3 linked regions of the Saccharomyces cerevisiae S288C genome follow. Changing the gene in region 3 together with the main gene of any one other region gives a genetic interaction. Each region holds a gene or a part of one and is shown on either strand. Other genes may lie near its edges.

Region 1 (4,648 bases), on a different chromosome or scaffold from region 3:
ACGAGATACTGGATTATGCTGTGTTGTTCAAAAGGTTGTACATCCTTTTAAACATTCTGGATACGCTACAAAGCTTTCGGCTAGGTCAACCAAAATTAATTAATCTAAATTTTGGTAGCGCCATTGAAACATATTTTAGCGATAAAACAGGTCATAACCAAGTCGTCGAAAAAGCTCCCGTAGCTTTGGATAACATTCTACGAAACCTTAAACTTGGTGAATTTATAACATATTTTGTCCTTAACAGAAAATCATTGCAAGTAAATGTACCTCACCACTTGCTGTTCACAAATCAAACGGATTACGGAGAGTTCGCTGTTGAAAAAGGGGAACATGATAATATAGCTGGCAAATTTGAGACCCTTTTGAAGAAAAAGGAAATTTTAATCAGAAAATTACTAAATATTGAACAGAAAAATGACCATATTCTAGAAAATTGCTGCAATTCGGATGCTGAAATGAAAAATATCGGAGAGCTAGTCTGCTCAATGATCACTCTGGTATCAGGCATATTAGATTCAATTACTAATATGAACGCAGAAAACTCTGTTGATTTGGATTCAAAGCCCCTTCCGAACGCCTATTTTGCTCAGGACAGTGAAGAAGAATTAATGTCGCCAACACAAAGTATTACGTCAAATCTTGCCAGTGAAGAAAATACACGTTGCACAACCAAAGACTTGATGGGAACTGTTTCTATTTTCATGCTGCCAATGGTGGAAGAATGCTATAATATCATTAGTTTGATAGGACCCATACCTACCACATTAATAAGTTTATACATCCGTAATGGAAATATGGCCAAGGGAATAAATGACAGAATTATGACGTTGTCAACTGCGCTGAACGAATTGGTGCAAATAACCGCACTATTTAATACCCTAGAACCTTTTAGGAAGAATGCACATGACCGTGCTAAGCGTTACTATGTAAGTGCTACAAGTAGTACCGGATGCTACGAATCGGTAATGAAGAGCATGTATTCCGGAAAATGTGCAGCTAGTAACGCCTCAAACGTTGCGCCATCGGAGGAAGAAAACAAAAAGATATTGAAAAAGTTTGCCGACATAGGTTGGAAATTGATGGATGATTCAGAATTGGGTTGTTGCTGTTGCTTCTTTAACTAATATTCATGATAACAAGGTGAAAAATAGCATCCTAATGAAGGATAGATAAGTAGATTTTTTCTTTTAAAAACTATAGTACAAGGACATGCAAAGTCATATATCTAAACTAATTTTGGTACACGACCAACAAAAAAGGGTAACAAAGTACACATATTCGCGTCAATAATATGAACAAGTTTGTTTATTTGCTTTTCAAATTTTTTTCTTTCTCCAGCAAACAAAAGTCTTAATGCATTAAATAAGAACCTTCGTTTTTTCTGCTTCTTGAATTACCGTCGATGCCATTCGATTCGAACTTGTAAGAAATTTTGATATTTAGATCTCTGTTATTCTTCTCGTTTGGAGAGCAAACCAATTCACCTTCAATGGTGTCACCAGTTTCAGCATCTAGATCATCAGGGAAATAAAATATTGTTTGCTTCCAGTGAGTGTATGGAGCATGAGGACCAGTGGAGAACTCAACAGGTCTCTTACCCTTTGGTGCAGGGAAAACAATGTCGAACCAGGTGACTATACCATTAATCATATCTTGTCTCTTGGCCGTCAATTTAAAGTTACTCTTAAACGCTAGATCTGATATTTTTACTGTATTTAAATCAAATTCGATCAATTTGTCTGAGGTGGTGTTGACATTGTTTCTTTCCACGGTGTCGACGATGGGCTCGTGTAAGACCAACGGAACAAATGGCGAATAATCAAACCCGTAAACGTCTTGCCAGTAGTTCAACTTCTCGTCTTTATACTGAGAGTCTTCCAAACCGGCCAAATGAATGGAGCACTTGTCGGGAAAGATCAGACCGCCTTCTACCAAATAGTGGTCTCTAGCGTAAAGAACGGTGTCCATCATGGACTCGTATAGTAGAAAGTAACCCATCCATTCAGAAATTATGATGTCAACTTTAGGAAAGGGTAAATGAACGTCCTCCAACTTGCCTCTTAGCAAGGTGATCTTGTCGCTGAATCCGTTCAACTCTACCAATTCCTTCGCCATCTCAATAATGCTTGACATATCAACACCGATAACATGCTTCGCACCGTGTTTAGCGGCAAACATGGATAAAATACCGGTACCGCAACCGACGTCTAAAACAATCTTGTCCTTAAAAAGATCCTTATTTTGGATAATTGCGTTTCTGTAAGATAAGGTACGAACAGTATCTTGAAGCATCTCTTCGTGAATACCATAGTGATCGTACGAATTGAAGTAGTGCTGTTCGCTTTCACTTAGCTTGGTTTTTTCTGTAGCAGAATCTTTCACGGCTGTCTTGCTCATTATTTTCTTTGGATGAATTTGTCGGTTCTAACTCTTTTTTGGAAACGGCAAGGTGAGCAGTAGGCAGCTCATCTCTTCAACTATTTTTATAACATATAATTTCCCTTTGTGAAAAAATTTTCCCGCCATTTCCAAATTTCGGAATTCCTTTTTCTTTTTTTTCATCTCGGTATATTCTGACATATTACCCTATAGGCGGTATAAAAAGATTCATTATACAGTATAAAATAGAAAATGAGAGAATTATATGGTGTTAAATAGATCCTACATTGAATTTTTCATTAACAGTCCCTCATGGGGCTAGTCTAACGACTTTCCATGGATCGTTTTCTGTTTTTCTTCTGTAAACGAATCTATCATGCAATCTCGAGGGTCTACCTTGCCAGAACTCAATTTCCAGTGGAACGATTCTCAAGCCACCCCAATAATCTGGACATGGGATGTCTTCAGCATCCTTGAAACGTTCGGTGTTTTTTTGGGTCAACTCGTCTAGTTCTTCTCTGTTCTTGATAACATCCGATTGGCGGGAAGCCCATGCACCGATCTTGGATCCACGAGGTCTCGTCTTAAAGTATCTTTCAGAAGTTTCTCTGTTAACATGCTCTGTGATACCTTCAACTCTCACCTGCCTTTGCAGATCCTTCCAAAAGAATACGATTGCCGCATTCGGGTTGGTAGCAATATCATGAGCCTTTCTAGAGGTTCCCCAGTTAGAATAAATAGTAAAACCTCTATGGTCGAGCTCCTTAAAAAGAAGAATCCTGGACGACACCCTCCCACTAGGTAGTTCCGCGGATGAAAAAGTAATTGCTTCTGGCAACGTTTCCCTTGGGTCTTCCTTGGCTTCGTTGAACCATTTGGTGAAAAGATCGATTGGGTCGTCAGTAAGTTGTTTTTCATTCAAAGTAAATTTATCATATTGATACGTCTCAGGAGCAAATATGATTGGCTTTTGGGTCTCCTCAGCTTGTTTAGTCATTTTCAGTGCAGATCCGTGAAGTGTACTACTGGTCTAGGTAGAGTATCTTTAAAATATCTAATCATGCAAATTAGTCATTTCTTCTTTCTTATAAGTTGCGGCCCCTTCTAGTATTTACAATTTACCCGGCGCTGGTTCTGGTGGCATCTATAAGAGCTCTATCTGGCTGCTAAGCAGACTTGCTGTTACTTGTATGTGCTGTTTATCAAGATTGGGGCATTACGCATGTGTATGTGTGAACTACAGTAGTGTTATGAAATACAGCCTGAAAGACGAAAACTTCACAACGGAACTTAAGCGGTTCAATAAACATCTATCTGCCAGCTTAGAGAGACTACCCGTGGTAGAGAAAGACACGGGCAGCCAAAAATACTGGGTGTTGTATATTTACTTGTGTTAGTTTATAAATAAATTTTATATCACTATATGTGTGGTGAAAAGGAAGAGCAATCCTGCTAAAGCTTTTATATCTAAACGCCAAAAAAATAAAAAAAAAAGGAAATGGGAGAAAAGTTTTCAGCGCGCGAACTCGCGAAAAAACTTCCTCTTTAGCAATGGTGACATATAGATCTCAAGGTTCTCAATTAAAAGACCTTCTTTGTAGCTTTTAGTGTGATTTTTCTGGTTTGAGAATAAAACTAGAGAGGAAGATAGGTACCCTATGAAAATGTCAATGGCTGTTGCGTTTGCTTAATCGTATTTTTTTTTTTTTCAGTCCGTGTTTTTTGTACATTCTACGTTTGAGTTTTCCATCATGCAGGCCTCAGAAATTTGGTAGGCACTCGATGGTGAAGAGATAGTGTCGGATTTCGGATTGATCTTTCAGTTGATAGCCTGCTGCTCTTTTCTTTTCCAAAGAATTTCGAGTATGCTGGTGTCAGTGTAGATGCTTGTGTGTGCGCAATTTGTGGTTTTTTATTGTGTTTCTACTTATAGATGGCTAAAATCTGAGTTTAGAAAATGCAAACCGTAAATTCTTAAACACTGCTATTGCATTTAGTTGCTAAAGCAGTGTTTTTGAACTTATTCCTGTTATTCCTTCTTCGTACCGATCCTCTTCTCGACCTAACCTTTTAATTACCATGGGAAGCCTACCATCACCACACCCACACACAAATGTTACAGCTAATTGTTTATTAGCAAAGTTTGCACGAGTTCGCTGTTTATTTTTTTCTCGTTTTCTTATACCTAGTATTTTTTCTGACACTGTTTAAGGTGACAGAAAAAAAGGAGTTTAAGTTAGATTTGCAAACAGACGGTGCTAAGCGC
Region 2 (4,788 bases), on a different chromosome or scaffold from region 3:
TGAAGTCGCCAAAATCTTAAGAAAGTCTCAAATCCCATTTAAGATTGATGATTCTGGAGTTTCCATTGGTAAAAGATATGCCCGTAATGACGAATTAGGTACTCCATTCGGTGTCACCATTGACTTTGAATCTGCCAAAGACCATTCTGTCACTTTGAGAGAAAGAGATTCCACCAAGCAAGTTAGAGGTTCCGTCGAAAATGTCATCAAGGCTATCCGCGATATCACTTACAATGGTGCTTCTTGGGAAGAAGGTACCAAGGATTTGACTCCTTTTATTGCCCAAGCTGAAGCTGAAGCTGAAACTGACTAAATAAATGACTTAATTTTAACTATATATCGCCAAACATGTAAATTAAAAAAAGAAGCGAGAAGTATATACATGTGTGTATGAATAAATAATTCGTTTACTATTGATACGTATTGCAAGATATGATTATGTACTGTCCACTAATACGATTATTTTGGAAGTTTATAAAAGAAGTGCGGAAATCACATCTGCTGTTTATTTAGCCATTCCTCACACTAATAGTTAAAGTACTTTCATAGCAGCTCTGCGCATGGTCGGACATGCGAAAAATTCTGATATCAAGAAAAAGCGAAATATTTCCGGCCTTGTAGGGGCCAAAACATTAACGTATATCAAGATTTCCTGTGGTAGCAACATTATAAGAAAAAAAGGTAGCCTTCATTGAAACATTCTCTCTATCAGCTTACCAAGTTAAACTCCGTATTCCACAAGCAAGTGCCAAAATGTCTTCTTCCCAGGTCGTCAGGGATTCTGCCAAAAAATTAGTTAATTTACTGGAAAAATATCCAAAGGATCGTATACACCACTTGGTCTCATTCAGGGATGTACAAATAGCAAGATTTAGACGTGTAGCGGGTCTGCCAAATGTAGATGACAAAGGAAAATCTATAAAAGAGAAAAAACCCTCATTAGATGAAATAAAAAGTATAATTAACAGAACTTCCGGTCCATTAGGACTGAATAAGGAGATGTTAACCAAAATTCAAAATAAAATGGTAGATGAGAAATTCACGGAAGAAAGCATCAACGAGCAAATTCGTGCCTTGAGCACTATAATGAATAATAAATTCAGAAACTATTACGATATTGGCGATAAGCTCTATAAACCTGCAGGAAATCCCCAATATTATCAACGGTTAATAAATGCCGTTGACGGTAAGAAAAAGGAAAGCTTATTTACTGCAATGAGAACTGTATTATTTGGTAAATAAAGAGCACATTATTTTCTAAGCTTGTAAATACATATTTATTCATAATGGAGAACGTTATTCAAATTTATCTGTGAATTTCTTTACTCGAGGTATACTTCCGCAAAGGAAATTCTACTTAGCAAATCCTATGGTAACGTCATTGTTTTGTAGCTTGTAAGTGGAGCCTAACTGATTCTTGATTTTCGTAGCATCAGCAACGGTCTCGTATTCCACGAAAGCTAGGTTACGAACGCTAACTAATCTGATTTCAACTAAAGCCTCATTGCCAAGTATTTGCGACAATAATTGCTCGGTAGTGCCGCTTGGCAAATTTTGTATAAGAAGGACTTTGTTCGGTGGATTTTCCATTGTATTGGACACTTTAGCCCGCTTAAGAGGTTTCTGCGATTGTTTTAGATTTTCTTGCTGAGACTTCATGTTTTCCAATCTACGGGTTTCAAATTCTTTTACAATCCTATCAATCTCAGCCTCCTCTACCTTTCTTGATCTCAGCTTATGCTTCAGGCGTCTTATTTGCCTTTTAAGCCTGAACTTTTTGGCGCATATATCATCACTACGTAACTTGCGTTTAAGTTTCCTTGCTTTAAGCACCTTCTTTATATCAAGGTTGTACGTTTCGTCATTACCTTTTTTTTTTTGCATTTCTATTGAAAGACCCAATAACGAATTTGTTCGAGCCTTTCCCATTCTCACTTTACGACCTTGAACTTTTAATGCTGTTGTCGTGTATTTTTCTAGAAACCGGTCTGCTTCTTCTTGAGTGACAAACGTTAAAAATGCTTGGTTAGTCATCTTTGATGATCTTGAAATAGAAACTTCAAGAAGGCCCATTTGATCATCTAGTAACATCAGCGGTTGTGATGATATTTGTAATTTATTGTGGGGAAGGGGTAGCGACGGATTAATGGCATACTTGTTGTTGGGATTAATGTGTTTCAGAAGTAATCTGGTATAATTTTCTTTATTTGCTGGCCTACTGGGTAAATTTTGAAAGTACAGTCTGTTTTTATTGGTCATAGAGTATAGAATAATGAAAACGTTAGTAGAAAGAAGATTTAAGGAAACGTAAATTACAAGGTATATACATACGCTGACATGGTTTCTTTAGGTTTGATGAGGCCGTCTTTTGTTGATAGCAGCTTTTTCCATTTTTTTTTTTTTTGTTTCGAGTAACGTATGGTTTAGTATCTGTCTTCTCCTTCTCTTACAAAAAAACCCTTTGTAAAATAGTGCCGAGTTGGAGGACATCAATCTGATGGGCAAGAAAACACCAACCCCCCCTATATGAAAAGAAAATGATAAGCAGATAGATAAAAATACTTAATTAACTAATACATAAAAATAAGAGGTATATAAAAATATTATATGGAAGCAATAATTATTACTCTTATTTCTTAGCAGCCTTTTGAGCAGCCTTGGTAACCTTAGCGGCCTTTTCAGTCTTGTCAACAGACTTGATAACACCGACAGCGACAGTTTGTCTCATGTCTCTGACAGCGAATCTACCTAATGGTGGGTATTCACTGAAAGCTTCAACACACATTGGCTTAGATGGAACGAACTTGACCAAAGCAGCGTCACCGGACTTCAAGAACTTTGGATGGTCTTCCAACTTCTTACCAGATCTTCTGTCGTTCTTTTCCAACAATTCGTCGAATCTACAAGCAATGTGAGCAGTGTGACAATCCAAAACTGGAGAGTAACCAGCAGAGATTTGACCTGGATGGTTCAAAACAATGACGGTAGCGTTGAAAGAAGCGCAACCCTTTGGTGGATCGTTCTTAGCGTCACCACAGACGTTACCTCTTCTGATTTCCTTAACGGAAACGTTCTTGACGTTGAAACCAACGTTGTCACCTGGAACACCTTGTTCCAATTGTTCGTGATGCATTTCAACGGACTTGACTTCAGTGGTAACACCAGCTGGGGCGAAAGTAACAACCATACCTGGCTTGATGACACCGGTTTCAACTCTACCGACTGGCACAGTACCAATACCACCGATCTTGTAAACATCTTGCAATGGCAATCTCAATGGCTTGTCAGTTGGTCTAGATGGTTGTTCAATGGCGTCAATGGCTTCCAACAAAGTCTTACCCTTGACGACACCGGCCTTGGTTTCCTTTTCCCAACCCTTGTACCATGGAGCGTTGGTGGTAGCTTCAATCATGTTGTCACCGTTCCAACCAGAGATTGGGACGAATGGAACAGTCTTTGGGTTGTAACCAACCTTCTTGATAAAGTTGGAGGTTTCCTTGACAATTTCTTGGAATCTGGATTCGTCCCATTTGACGGAGTCCATCTTGTTGACAGCAACAATCAATTGTCTAACACCCAAGGTGAAAGCCAACAAAGCGTGTTCTCTGGTTTGACCATCCTTAGAGATACCGGCTTCGAATTCACCGACACCACCAGCAATAATCAAGATAGCACAGTCAGCTTGAGAAGTACCAGTAATCATGTTCTTGATGAAATCTCTGTGACCTGGAGCATCAATAACGGTAACTTGGTACTTTGGAGTTTCGAACTTCCACAAAGCAATATCGATAGTGATACCTCTTTCTCTTTCAGCCTTTAACTTGTCCAAAACCCAAGCGTACTTGAAAGAACCCTTACCTAATTCAGCGGCTTCCTTTTCGAACTTTTCGATGGTTCTCTTGTCAATACCACCACACTTGTAAATCAAATGACCGGTAGTGGTAGACTTACCAGAATCGACATGACCGATAACGACAACGTTAATGTGAGACTTCTCTTTACCCATGTTTAGTTAATTATAGTTCGTTGACCGTATATTCTAAAAACAAGTACTCCTTAAAAAAAAACCTTGAAGGGAATAAACAAGTAGAATAGATAGAGAGAAAAATAGAAAATGCAAGAGAATTTATATATTAGAAAGAGAGAAAGAAAAATGGAAAAAAAAAAATAGGAAAAGCCAGAAATAGCACTAGAAGGAGCGACACCAGAAAAGAAGGTGATGGAACCAATTTAGCTATATATAGTTAACTACCGGCTCGATCATCTCTGCCTCCAGCATAGTCGAAGAAGAATTTTTTTTTTCTTGAGGCTTCTGTCAGCAACTCGTATTTTTTCTTTCTTTTTTGGTGAGCCTAAAAAGTTCCCACGTTCTCTTGTACGACGCCGTCACAAACAACCTTATGGGTAATTTGTCGCGGTCTGGGTGTATAAATGTGTGGGTGCAACATGAATGTACGGAGGTAGTTTGCTGATTGGCGGTCTATAGATACCTTGGTTATGGCGCCCTCACAGCCGGCAGGGGAAGCGCCTACGCTTGACATCTACTATATGTAAGTATACGGCCCCATATATATATATATATATATACATTAAACATTATTGGTAAATACACCAGCAACCGCATGATTGATGTTATGGTGGAATATAGGTAGCTAAAAAAACTCTACATAACAAAGTAATTGTTTACATTGATCTTGACCTATCAAATTTCTTTCACATTTTGGGTTTATAGGTCAATATATTGATATATATGTGTAGCTATTTTCGCTTGCTTTCAAGTCACTTCTT
Region 3 (4,050 bases):
TTTTGGTAATTAATTTTTGTCCTTTTGTTTTCTTACAGCGTGTATATATTAATGATTAATTTTCTATGACTGATTTCGTCGCGCCCGGCGTTTTCTTGTCTCTTAATGCCTCCTGTTTCTGTTAATTGGTAAGATTATGTTAAATTGGTCAAGATATATACTAATACAATTTTTTAGTTGATCTTCCCACCCTTGTTTTCAAGCGATACCACGCCTATCCAGTGCTACTGATCGCTACTTGCCGAGCCCCTACTTTTATGCTAACAACCTTCGAGAATAGTTACATTCGAAGATGAATTATAACTGCGAAATACAAAACAGGAACAGTAAGAATGTTGACAATCAAGTCAGTCTACCCCCTATCCAAGTTCTATTTAACTCCATAGAAAAACGGAGTATGCCCGAGTTGGCATTTTCGAACATAGAATACTCGCATGGGAACCTTCGGTCTAGTACCGAGGAACAAAACTATCCTGCGCCTGTGTTACTTCCACAGCATCATTCGATTGCGTATCCCGCAATTAATTCTGGCGGTACTAGTACTACTGCTACTCCTACTGCTTCTACAGTTGAAACGTCCAAGACGAGTAGCAGTGCTATGGATACACAATCTCAATATGGCAGTTCAAAGAAGTCAAAATCGGCGTCCGATGATGCAAAGCCCTGCTACAAATCCGCCCCAATATATGAAATAATCAATAAGGAAAAGGATGCGGGGGCACAATACAACAGGCCATTTTCGGATTTTGTAGAATCTAAATCAAGGAGGAAGCAAAATTCGGGCAGGAGGTCTAACCTGCCAAAGGAAACAGTGCAGATACTGAATACTTGGTTGCTGAACCACCTGAATAACCCCTACCCAACTCAACAAGAAAAGAGGGAGTTGTTAATCAAAACTGGGCTAACCAAGATTCAACTTTCTAATTGGTTCATAAATGTGAGAAGACGCAAAATATTTAGTGATTACTATACCCTGGTAAACTCAATTCCTAATGACAACGCGAATAATACCCCAGTGGAACGAGTTCAAAACGTCTCAGCATATCATAACACATTATCTGCCACAAATAATACTATGTACGATGCTACGTCAACCTGCTCCACGGATTATGAATTATCCAAGAGATTTGCTCATGCCCCCGTTACACGCCGTAAAAAACTAATTGATAGGCTGGAAGAATTGAAAAAGCTATCCAACCCTGATATGAATTGATCACTTATCAATGCATTACTTAAATATTCATATAATTATATCTATTACCATTTACATTTTATCGTTACTATATATAGTATTATCATGTCATTGAACGTGTTACGTCTATTATGTTACACTGATTTTTTTTTTTTTTTTTTACATAACAGCATCATGCAAGCCTTTAAAAATAATGTAGGTATGTATATATACAATAATATATATATATATATATATATCTGTGTGTAGAATCTTTCTCAGATATAAATTGATTGATTCTACTGAGGTACGTAGTTATCATCTTCTCTTTCTTCATCGAAACCTGGTCTGAAAGTACCCATTGCATCAGGAGGAGGGATATAATTATTCGTATTAGATTGTGAGCTACTGTTATCAAATCTGGAATGTGGTACGCCGACACGCTCTGCAAATGGAATGGCGAAGCCACCTCTGGATGCATCAAAATCGAACCTCAATTCATCGCTGACTTGACCACCGCTCTTACCACGACCAAACTGTCTTCCATCTTCAAAACCAGGATCTAGATCAATGGTAATTGTCTTTTCGTCTAACTTTGTATCGGACAAATATTTTAAGGCATTCAATGCTTCATCTGGACAACTATATATAATAAAACAGAAGCCACATGGCGTGAACTTAAAACGGTCCAAACCCATAATTATTCTTTTTATTGTGCCACATTTACTGAATAATTCGTAAATTTGTTCTTCTGATGTATAAAAGGAAAGATTTCCTACATAAATTGTGGATGACTTCATCGACTCACGCAGTTCTTGTAGCCCGTTAGGGTTTCTTCTAGCCTTGCGCAGCAGGTACCTTGATGGTGTATCTAGGCGTTTAGTTGAATGATCATATTTAACTTCGTCAAATTCTTCCAGGGACATCTTTCCCTTTATTTATTGGTATATTAATGGATGCAACTTTTATTCGATATTAGTCCTTTCGGGACTTTAAAAGCTGTCGAGACACTTTCTCCATATAAACTCATGTTCTATATTCATACATATAATATTTTTCTTGAAAAAAACACAAAAACTGTTAAAGCGGGTAATACTTTGATAAGCACTTATTAACGTTTATACCATACACTACTTCATACACCAATTACAAATCTATTAGTGGTATACTTTTACTGTAGACAATGTGGATTTTGATGTAATTGTTGGGATTCCATTGTGATTAAGGCTATAATATTAGGTATATAGATATACTAGAAGTTCTCCTCAAGGATTTAGGAATCCATGAAAGGGAATCTGCAATTCTACACAATTCTATAAATATTATTATCATCATTTTATATGTTAATATTCATTGATCCTATTACATTATCAATCCTTGCGTTTCAGCTTCCACTAATTTAGATGACTATTTCTCATCATTTGTGTCATCTTCTAACACCGTATATGATAATATACTAGTAACGTAAATACTAGTTAGTAGATGATAGTTGATTTTTATTCCAACATTTACTGGTACAATAGGTGTATGATATTTTCCCAAAGTTTAAATTTATATAATATAAGTGGCTTGTGCATTAATGCTCTTGAACGAAACTGGATAACGAAAACTGCAAATACTTGTAGTTTTAAACAGACACTTTCTGGGATAGGTCTATCAGCGAAGCTTGGGAATGTTTCGCCAAATTACCTGTATCCTTTCATGAGCGTGAGCAGGTTTAGGTCATGGTCACATCTTATTATATAAATTCTTTCAGAAGATTGTCAATTGTCCATCTATCGCCATAGATTATCTGAGAGCGAAGTTCCATTATGTCTACTAGTAGAAAATAATTTGAAGTTGAAATATAATAGCATTACAAAATTTTTTCTTTATATAGTCCGGTCTTGAAGAAGGATAACAATATTAAGTGTATGAAGACACAAGAACTTTTTCTTGGAAATTTGGATTTTTATGGGAGGAAACCTACAGCGGCAATGTATAATTATGATTAGTTCATCCTTTGCTGCCATCTGTTCGCAATTATTCATGCAATTGTATGATTATTGTCAGGCATTTCAACTTCCGGTAGATTCGTTTGTAATAATAGGTGAATTTTGTGTTGACATTATCAAACCGTTAAGATAGTGTTAGTTGCCAATTAGCATTTGCCTCGATAGAATGTGACGTTAGTTGTGGTACTAGGAATAAAAGTTGATGGCCAAACATTTTTCCTGCACATTTCCTTCAGCGTTTTCAGAAAAGAGAATTTGAGTAAAAATATTTTTGATGTTTAGGTTACCAATATCTCATTAATATAAATTTGAAAACAATGAATTTTGGGTTATACTTGGAGTGCATTTTATTGTGGTTAAAGGCTACAATATTAGCTAAACAGAATGTACAAGTAGTTTTCCTGGAGAATAAAAGAATTCTAAAAGAGAATCGATAATTCTATACAATAATATAGTTATCTCTTCTTTCGTTTATGTACTGTCGTTCTTGTTTTATTACGTTATTAATCCTTGCAGTGCACTTTTCATGATGACTGGTGACTGTTTCTCAATTTTTACATCATTTTTTTTTGAAAACATGATGATATACTAATAATTTGGATACTAGCAATAAATGCTTCTTGATCCTCTATTCCAACAAAAAAGTAACAAGAGCTTACTGATCTTCGGTTTTTATTTTACCTTATCCCAAATATCAAATTGAAATATACCGATTGTTTTAATCCGTTTTGTTGTATATTATCGTAATAATATGCAGATAATATACATATATACGTATTACGCCGATTAGGCTGACACTTTAACAAAATTTTCTGTCCAATTATTGTCCGATATAGTGTAACGGCTATCACATCACGCTTTCACCGTGGAGACCGGGGTTCGACT

What was found. Genes that interact genetically often act in the same process or in processes that back each other up.
Region 1: mutations in CBC2 (region 3) and HMT1 together harm fitness more than expected from each alone (negative genetic interaction), as found in Saccharomyces cerevisiae (4 studies listed by BioGRID).
Region 2: mutations in CBC2 (region 3) and MUD1 together harm fitness more than expected from each alone (negative genetic interaction), as found in Saccharomyces cerevisiae (4 studies listed by BioGRID, with this or other methods).

Annotation. Positions count from the first base shown.
Region 1 is NC_001134.8:303,577-308,224, forward strand, and holds HMT1 (protein-arginine omega-N methyltransferase HMT1), read right to left. Parts: upstream 2,401-4,648; coding exon 1,354-2,400; downstream 1-1,353. Other genes in the region: EDS1 (Eds1p), read left to right, coding at 1-1,127; pyridoxamine-phosphate oxidase PDX3, read right to left, coding at 2,693-3,379. UniProt on the Saccharomyces cerevisiae protein: S-adenosyl-L-methionine-dependent protein-arginine N-methyltransferase that catalyzes both the mono- and asymmetric (type I) dimethylation of the guanidino nitrogens of arginine residues in a variety of RNA-binding proteins such as heterogeneous nuclear ribonucleoproteins (hnRNPs) and small nuclear ribonucleoproteins (snRNPs).
Region 2 is NC_001134.8:476,889-481,676, reverse strand, and holds MUD1 (Mud1p), read right to left. Parts: upstream 2,340-4,788; coding exon 2,332-2,339; intron 2,243-2,331; coding exon 1,354-2,242; downstream 1-1,353. Other genes in the region: GRS1 (glycine--tRNA ligase), read left to right, coding at 1-313; CBP6 (Cbp6p), read left to right, coding at 754-1,242; TEF2 (translation elongation factor EF-1 alpha), read right to left, coding at 2,630-4,006. UniProt on the Saccharomyces cerevisiae protein: Involved in nuclear mRNA splicing. The principal role of the U1A is to help fold or maintain U1 RNA in an active configuration. It is the first snRNP to interact with pre-mRNA.
Region 3 is NC_001148.4:210,205-214,254, reverse strand, and holds CBC2 (nuclear cap-binding protein subunit CBC2), read right to left. Parts: upstream 2,098-4,050; coding exon 1,471-2,097; downstream 1-1,470. Other genes in the region: CUP9 (Cup9p), read left to right, coding at 293-1,213.